2 linked regions of the Mus musculus genome follow. The protein of the gene in region 1 binds, or shares a complex with, the protein of each later gene. Links are inferred from orthologs where the notes say so. Each region holds a gene or a part of one and is shown on either strand. Other genes may lie near its edges.

The links.
Region 2: the proteins of E2f1 (region 1) and Ccnf are in contact, whole or in part, in a cryo-EM structure (PDB 9CB3), measured with the Homo sapiens proteins. The link is inferred for Mus musculus from reciprocal best matches to the Homo sapiens genes E2F1 and CCNF. Residues at the interface, in NP_005216.1 of Homo sapiens: Gly84, Arg85, Pro87, Val88, Lys89, Arg90, Arg91, Leu92, Asp93, Leu94, Glu95, Thr96; in NP_001752.2 of Homo sapiens: Met309, Ile312, Leu313, Asp315, Trp316, Glu319, Val320, Met323, Arg349, Leu352, Gln353, Trp379, Leu380, Thr381, Asp382, Thr384, Asp504, Tyr505, Val508, Leu510, Thr511.

Annotation. Positions count from the first base shown.
Region 1 is NC_000068.7:154,566,977-154,571,336, forward strand, and holds the start of E2f1 (transcription factor E2F1), read right to left. Parts: upstream 2,917-4,360; 5' UTR 2,759-2,916; coding exon 2,513-2,758; intron 2,451-2,512; exon of another isoform or gene 2,202-2,450; coding exon of another isoform or gene 2,091-2,201; intron 1-2,090. UniProt on the Homo sapiens protein: Transcription activator that binds DNA cooperatively with DP proteins through the E2 recognition site, 5'-TTTC[CG]CGC-3' found in the promoter region of a number of genes whose products are involved in cell cycle regulation or in DNA replication.
Region 2 is NC_000083.6:24,230,872-24,234,512, reverse strand, and holds part of Ccnf (cyclin-F), read left to right. Parts: coding exon 1-143; intron 144-2,604; coding exon 2,605-2,728; intron 2,729-3,021; coding exon 3,022-3,202; intron 3,203-3,641. UniProt on the Homo sapiens protein: Substrate recognition component of a SCF (SKP1-CUL1-F-box protein) E3 ubiquitin-protein ligase complex which mediates the ubiquitination and subsequent proteasomal degradation of target proteins.

The DNA of each region.
Region 1 (4,360 bases):
GTGCATTCAATTCTGGGTTCAATCCCCAACAGCATTAAGCACTCACAGCGACCAGCCAGGGATTCGTGTAATAAAACAACAGTGTCACACCTAAAACAAGGGCCCTGCAGAAGAGCTGGCTTTCTACTCTAAGCCTGGCTCTTACAGACTTAATGTATGGTACCACATACTTTCTACAGTAAACAAGAACTATAATGGGGAACCTCAGTTTCTTGCTGTTACTGTTTTGAAAGAGGGTCTTTGTAATTCGGGCTGGCTTTGAACTCAAGAAGTCAATTAACCAAAATAGGCTGTTGATATTTTATTTATTTTTGTTTGTTTGTTTTGTTTTGTTTTTCAAGACAGGGTTTCTCTGTAGCCCTGGCTGTCCTGGAACTCACTTTGTAGACCAGGCTGGTCTCGAACTCAGAAATCTGCCTCTGCCTCCCAAGTGCTGGGATTAAAGGCGTGTGCCACCACGCCCGGCTTAATTTATTTTTAACTAGTTTACTTTTTAAAATTATTTTCTTTTTAAAATGAAATTTGTGTCTGTATGAATGTATGTGAACATGGGTACCCAAAGACAGGAGAAGACTATCAAATCCCTGGAGACTGAAGTTAGCCATGTGACCTCAGTGTTGGGGCTGTGATCCAAACTCAAGTTGTCATAACAGAGAAGCAATTGCTTTCAATGGCTGAACCATCTATCCAGCCCAACTTACTTTAAGGTTAGGTTTCACTATGTAGCCCTGGCTGGCCTTGAACCTGTGTCAGTTCTCCTGTCTGTGCTATTCCCCTCCCCCCCCCCCCCCAGGATCTACACATACATGACAAGGTAGAGAGGTAGGTCAAGGAGGAATGTCTGAACTGCAAAGAGGTGTACAGAGGTGCACAGGAAGGACCCAGCAAGTATTCACTGGGTGCAAGCCAAGCCTGTAGCTTATTTCAAGGACTGCCCCCCCAAAATTCCAGAGCAAAGTTGGTAGAGGCCAAAATCCAGATTTGCATTCCTGGCCTTTGGCTCCGGGATGGTGTCAACCTCTCCCACAGAAAATGTTTGCTGGTCCTTAAGTACTATGGGGGCAGGGGTTCCCTAACTACCTCTGCACCTAGGGCACAAAGGGACTCACTAACTCAACTAGAGCGAATGGAATGTTTGGTTACATGTAGAATACCTGCCCAGGGCCCAAGCTCCTCCCTACAGGTACAGGCCCCTGGAGTTAATGCAAGGCAAGCCGGCTGACCCACCAAATACTGGCCGTCCTCGCTGGGAGGAAAGGCCTTTAACAGCCAGGAAATCCCGCTCAGTCACTGAATGCTTAAGAAGTTCTATCAGTTGTGGGCCTCAGCCTCATCTATGAAAGGATGACAAAGTGTACGGCTGCCCACAAGGTTAAGTGAGTAAAGTGCTTAGCACAGAGCCTGGCACACAAAACATCCTCAAAACAATGGTGGTTGCTATTGTTATTATTATTAGCATCTTGGTGATTCCGGAAGGAAGGCAGCACTGGGCGCTGTGCCAAGGGGAGTAAGGGGCCTACTCTAAGATGCCTCAGGGACCAGCTGCCACCCACACCCCCATCAGGAGTTGAACAGCTTCTTCTCTGATACTGGGCCTTGCCCTCGCCCCTCCTGTCCACTCCACCCCTACAATGAAGATAGTGGCCCACTCACGGAGCTGGCCCCTGCTTAGATCCAAGTTCCACTCTCCTCGTACCCAGCTGCCTTTTCTAGGCCCCCTGCCTAAAGTGGTCTTGAGCTACTTGCTTAGAATCAGGAAGAGACTTTTATCCAGGGATCTCCCTCCCACGTCTTCTCTCTCCAGGAACTGGAGGCCCCTTCTCAGGGGCCCAGCCCACCCAGTCTTCCAGAGGCTCAGAGGTCTGTCCGCCTGATTAATAAAGTTCCATGGCAACCAGGAGCTGGAAGGGTGGCAGATGGAAGAACAGGCAAAGGAAGGGTTGCAGCAGCTGGCCCAGCACCCCGCCCCTGCAGAGAAGGCCTCCCAATCAAGAGGCCTATCCCCAGAGGCCTGGAAGGCCAGGCCTGCACCTGGCAGAGCTACTAAGGAGGATCTCCCGAAGATGTCTCTAACAGTCACCCTCTCTCACCTCCAACAAGCAACTGTGCGCACTCCCTAGCCATAGGTTCTGCAGCAAGCCAGCAGACATCAGTTCAAATATCAGCCCCACCATCTGCAGCTGCGTGAAGCACTTCCCCATCTCTGGGCCTCAGTTCCTCCCTCTGGCAGATGGGCACGTGACAACACCCAGCTCACACCAGAATTGGGAATTTGGTGCCAAAGCCTGAGCGTGCACTAAGCAAGCACCAGCTGGATACACGTGAGACACAATCATTAATGGTTCCGACGCTCCGGTGAAGACGCCGAGGCCCGGAGCGAGGCTCAGCAAACAGACAGGCAAGGCAGTCAGTCAATGCGCGCCCCGGGGCGGAGCCCCGAGGCCCAGCCCAGGCTCCGCGCCGCCCAGCGCAGCAGCCCGTCCCCTCCCCCGCCCGCGCCTAGGGTCCGTACCGGCGGGCGGCCGAGAGCCGGGCGCGGTGCACTAGGCGCGGGTCGGGGCGCCTGCGGCGTGGCGAAGAGCAGCACGTCAGAATCGCGAGGGCCAGTGGGCGGCGCGGCGGGGAGCTGCGGGGCGCCGACATCGGGCGCGGTGGAGATGATGACGATCTGCGAGGAGTCGAGCAGCCGCAACGCGCCCGCCCCGAGCAGGGCCTCCAGCGCTGGCGCGTGCTGGCCGCCCGCGGGGGCTACGGCCATGGCGCTCACGGCCCGCGTGGCCCGGGAGGCAGGCGGCGGCGGCGGCGCGGGCCCATGACTGGCAGGCCGCGGCGAGGGCTCGATCCCGCTCCGCCCCGGCCGCCGCTGCCTGCAAAGTCCGGGCCACTTTTACGCGCCAAATCCTTTTTGCCGCGAAAGAGCCACGCGCCGCCGAACGCCTCCTCCATTGGCCGGGGCGGCTGTGACGACGGAGGCTCCGATGGCGAGCATTGGTTGCGGCGTGCGGGGCAGGAGACGGAGGGTGGGACCAGGGGCGGGGTGGCCAATCCCGGGGCGGGGCGCGCGCAGGCTTTGTCCGGGCGGTGCCGGGCGCCTTCTCCCCTCTGCCTCTCGCCGTGCCCTGCAGGAGGCGTGGGCAATGGGCCCCGCCCCTTCACCGCCCACTCGATGGGTGGCGGGTCTGGCGAAGCGAACAAACTTCGTACTCGGTTCTGCACGTCCCGCAGTCTCCACATGACCCCCTAAACTCTCAACCTGTGGTCTCCACCCCCTCAGTTTACAGCCCAGAGACTGCCTCTTCAGGCTCACCTCCAAAGCTCGCTTCAGCCACATCTCCGGTCTTAAGATCCATTTATTCCATTAGTTCACATCATGCTTTCTTCCCTATCCTGTCACCCAGAAGCCAAGCCCAAGAGGGGAGCCAGGAAATGAGTAAGGGATGTGTGGCTTTGATCTCAGTGTCTTTTTACTGAAATTTCTTTCGTAGCCAGAGCCCAGTTAGCGTTCATTCATTTGGTCACTCCACAATGGCGCCTGCCTTTAATCCCAGCACTTGGGAGGCAGAGGCAGGCGGATCTTCCCAGTTCAGGTCATCCAGAACTACACAGTGAGACCCTGATCTCAAAAAAAAAAAAACGCCTGAGAGCGTTCACTGTCCCATCCTCAGTCCAGACCTTGACTCATGACTTAGTGAAAAGGAAAAAAAGGAAACACAGAAGCAGCAGATGTTTGCAATGTGAAGAGATTGGTCCATTAAAGTATCTCCTCTCATAGGGAGGTGCAGGGGCGAGGAGGGTGCGTATGGTGGTGCCTTTAATCCAGAGGTCCTCCATCAGCATTTCTGATTGCTGGGGTCAGCCCGTCTGATCAGCATTGTGGTCCTCTCTACTAGGCATCTTGCCAATACTGGGAATAGAAACATGAAAGGTTTAACAAGACCCACAAACTTCCTGTCCTTGGGGGTGGGGGAGATGACCACAAGAAGAGAGTAAGTAGCTGACAATATTCAAGTCCCCAGGTCCAGTGTAAGCTACAGGGAGCTCTCAAGCCGGGTTACTTTCTCCATGCTTCATGCTACTTAATCTTGGCCCCAACTCTGACCACATTACTCTGAGCTGGCTTAGCAGGGGCTGCTTCTCAGGCCCTTTCTGGGTATGAGAGAATTGGAGGCTGAGGGCAGAGGTGAGCAAGGACGCAATAAGGGGGCTGTGATGTTCCAGGGCCCAGAAACACCAAGGCACGGGTTAACTTTGAACCACCCCGGTTTGGCCAATTTAGAATCAATCCCCAGCCAGGCCGCCCTCTCCCCTTCTTGTTTTTTTTTTGGTTTGTTTTGATTGGGAGGGGTGGGTTTTTAGTTTG
Region 2 (3,641 bases), on another chromosome or scaffold:
GTGGAAGTTGCCACAATGAAGGACTTTACAAGCCTGTGTCTTCACCTGACTGTGGAGTGTGTAGACCGGTACCTGCGAAGGAGGCTGGTCCCCAGATACAAGCTGCAGCTCCTGGGTATTGCCTGCATGGTCATCTGTACCCGGTGAGGAGCCTTGACCAACGGGCAGGGCTGAGGTGCTCATGTGCTGGTCCCCCCAGATGCAGAGGCCACCGTCCTCTGAGTCCTAGCTGCTGATTTTTAAGGGAAATAACTCTTAAGTGCCTTACCTGGCTCAACTGTGTTAATAATTTCAATCCCAGTATCCTTTGCGAGGAAGGGATGGCAGAGTTGACCCTTTGTATGTCGATTATACCTCTTTGGGGGGTCTGTATCCCCCACACAGTCTTGGGACCCAGAGCCTGGACTTGGGAAGGCCTAAGCTAGACCACACTTTCCCATGATCCAAAGGATGCCAGTTGCTAAGAAGAGTTGGTTGTAGCTGTTGGCTTGTGCCTTCCTCCTCAGTCATCAGAGATAAACTGTCACTGAGATGGAATCCTCCAGTCTACCACCAAAGCCCCCAACCATCAGAGCCTGCCACAGGATGTCACATGTCACACAGCAGCCTGTTCCCTGGCAGCTCTAGCTTTTCAAATAGGTTCAGTTTACATTTTTTTTTTCTCAAGCTGTGCTTAGATTTGCCTCTGGAAGCGATGTGGAAGGCGCTTTTCAAAATGTAGTTTGCATTTTCTTACTCTTCTAAACTTGATGGCCCCAGCTTGGTCTGCTGTTTCCTAGGACACACATTTCACATCCCTGCTAACTCCTTCCTAGGCTCGCTTGTGTACTAGGGTTCCTATCTCTGTGAAAAAGCCCCATGATCAAAAGCAGCTTGGTGAGGAAAGTCAGGGCAGGAGCTTGAGCAGGGAGGGAGCCTGGAGGTAAGAACTCAGATCAGAGTCCATGGAGGGGTGCCACATAGTGGCTTGCTCGTGTCTTGCTGGGCCTTCTTTCTTATAGTGCCCAGAGCCATCAGCCCAGGGACCGCACCACCCACAGTGAGCTGAGCCCTCCCATAGCAATCTAGTAAGATTTCTTCCCATGTGACTCTTGGATCAACCTGACTCATATAGGAACCTGTGGGCAGAACATCCGGCCCACTGGGATGAAGGTCATGAAGGAGACCCGCTCACATTTGCTCCCCTCTGAGCTCCATGAGTGGTTCTTTTTCCTGTCACCGCCAAAGCTCCCAAGCCCACCTTCCTTACCAGGTTAGCCATGTGGGCATATATATCCAGCCACAGTAGACACTATAGCACCTTCCAGTATCCATGTCCCAGCTAGAGGAAGCATGGTCATGTGACCACAGGAGGAAGACTGTGGATTTCAGGGGGGAACATCTGACCTTACCGCATCCCGGGTCTTCTTCAGATAGGCTCTGTGACCCGAATCTCACATCCCAGGTCTTCTCAGCAGTCAGCAAGCTGGTGAGGCTGCTGCCTCCGCTGACCCTTCTGCCAAGGCTGAGCAGCAGTCCACATTCGCTGGGGAGGGTGCTTGTGGGACCACTGGAACAGAGTGTTTCTGATTGTTAGTACTGTGGACAGCAGAGAACAGGCTGCCCCTGCCTCAGAAACAGTCAGGATTCCTGTGGCCAAACGCTGGGAGGGCTGTGTGTAGCCCACCTACACCGGGAGGGCTGTGTGTAGCCCTCCTACACCGGGAGGGCTGTGTGTAGCCCTCCTACACCGGGAGGGCTGTGTGTAGCCCTCCTACACCGGGAGGGCTGTGTGTAGCCCTCCTACACCGGGAGGGCTGTGTGTAGCCCTCCTACACCGGGAGGGCTGTGTGTAGCCCTCCACCGTGCTCCAGCAGCTCACCTATCTTTATGTTTGCATTCTTTGTACTCAGATGCAGTCAAGGGGATAGGACAGGAGCTGAAGCGGTTGTTTAGAAGCTTGGCGAGTCTGCACCTGGCTTTGAACCACAGCACAGCCAAACAAACCTTAAAAAAAAAAAGCCCTCATCTATAAAGTCATAAAGAGCTAAATTAGTGTCGCTCATGGGTCGGGTCTTTTTTGTTTTTTGGATGAAAATCAGGACATGACAGCTCCTCGGTGGTTATAAAGGAGAGAACAGCTAGAGTAGACTGTGCCATGAGAGAAGAAGGAAAAGGAGACGCAGAGAGGAAGAGGGGAGCTGGACGGAGGGGTGCCGGGCCAAGAGAACAGATACCAACATGGCTGGGTTATGTAGGGGTCAGAGCTGCTGGAAGGGAAGGCCAGCCCCTGGACTGTAAAAGGTTCAGGGTAGGGTTGGGGCAGGAGTGCTGGGAGGAGCTATAGGTATTCAGTGAGACTTGTCCCAGGCTTCTTCGGGACCCGACACTTGTACATTCTTGTCTGTGCTCTGTAGCCATGCCTCTCCTGCTGGGTCTGAGGATCCTGTTCTGACCCCCTCTTTGTAGCCCCTGGATGCTCTTTGATAGTCAGAAGCAAGTGGATTCGCTCCATAGCTTCCTTTTGCCACCTGAGTCTGGAGCCATCCCATCATGCTTTTGCCTTGAGGCTTTCTGAGCTATGGCCCCTCAGCTCAGGCCTGAGAGCCCATCTCTACGTTCCAGGTTCATCAGCAAAGAGATTCTGACGATTAGAGAGGCTGTGTGGCTCACAGACAACACGTATAAATACGAGGACTTGGTGCGCGTGATGGGGGAGATCATTTCCGCCCTGGAAGGGAAGATTCGGGTAAGTAGGGCTTGACTTTCTCCTTTGAGCAAAAGTTTCTTCTGTTTGAGGTCACGGGGGGGGGGGGGGGGGCGGGCGGGGGGCGGGGTGGCTGTTGCGGGAAGCTGAGGCCATTGAGCGCTACTGCTGTGGAGAAAGCACCAGGAAGCCATGGCTGCGGTGTGTCATTAGCTGCCCTGAAACCCTGAGCTTGGTTGGGCCCCAGCATGAGCACCTAGGCCAAAACCCTGCTGGGCTGTGCCTCAGTGTAACACTGATGGATGAGACGTGGCATTTTCCTCCCTCTTGTCTAGATCCCTACCGTGGTTGACTATAAAGAGGTCCTGCTGACACTGGTCCCCGTCGCACCCAGAACCCAGCACCTGTGCAGCTTCCTCTGTGAGCTCACCCTGCTGCACACCAGCCTGTCCATCTATGCCCCAGCCCGCCTGGCCTCTGCGGCCCTTCTCCTGGCCAGACTCATGCATGGGCAGAGTAAGGAGAGGCCTTCTTGGGGGCTGTGGAGGGTGACCTGGTATCTTGGGGAAGTCTTGGATGAGAGAGGTTGGAAGGGAGGAAATGAACACTCCCTCCTTCATCCTGGAGAAGAAAGAGCAGCAGTATGGATCTGAAATGGGGGTTGGAGCCAGGCAGTGGTGGCGCACACCTTTAATCCCAGCACTTGGGAGTCAAGGGCAGGTGAATTTCTGAGTTCAAGACCAGCCTGGTCTATGAGTGAGTTCCAGGACAGCCAGGGCTACACAGAGAAAGTCTGTCTGGAAAAAAGAAAAAGAAAGAAATGAGGCATGGGGGGTTTTCTGGGTGATGGTTCTAGCTGAAGCAGTACATAGTTTTTCAAGTGTGTATACTGTGTATGGAGTCTTTTTTTAAAAAAAATTATTTATTTATTCTATGATTATGAGTACATTGTTGC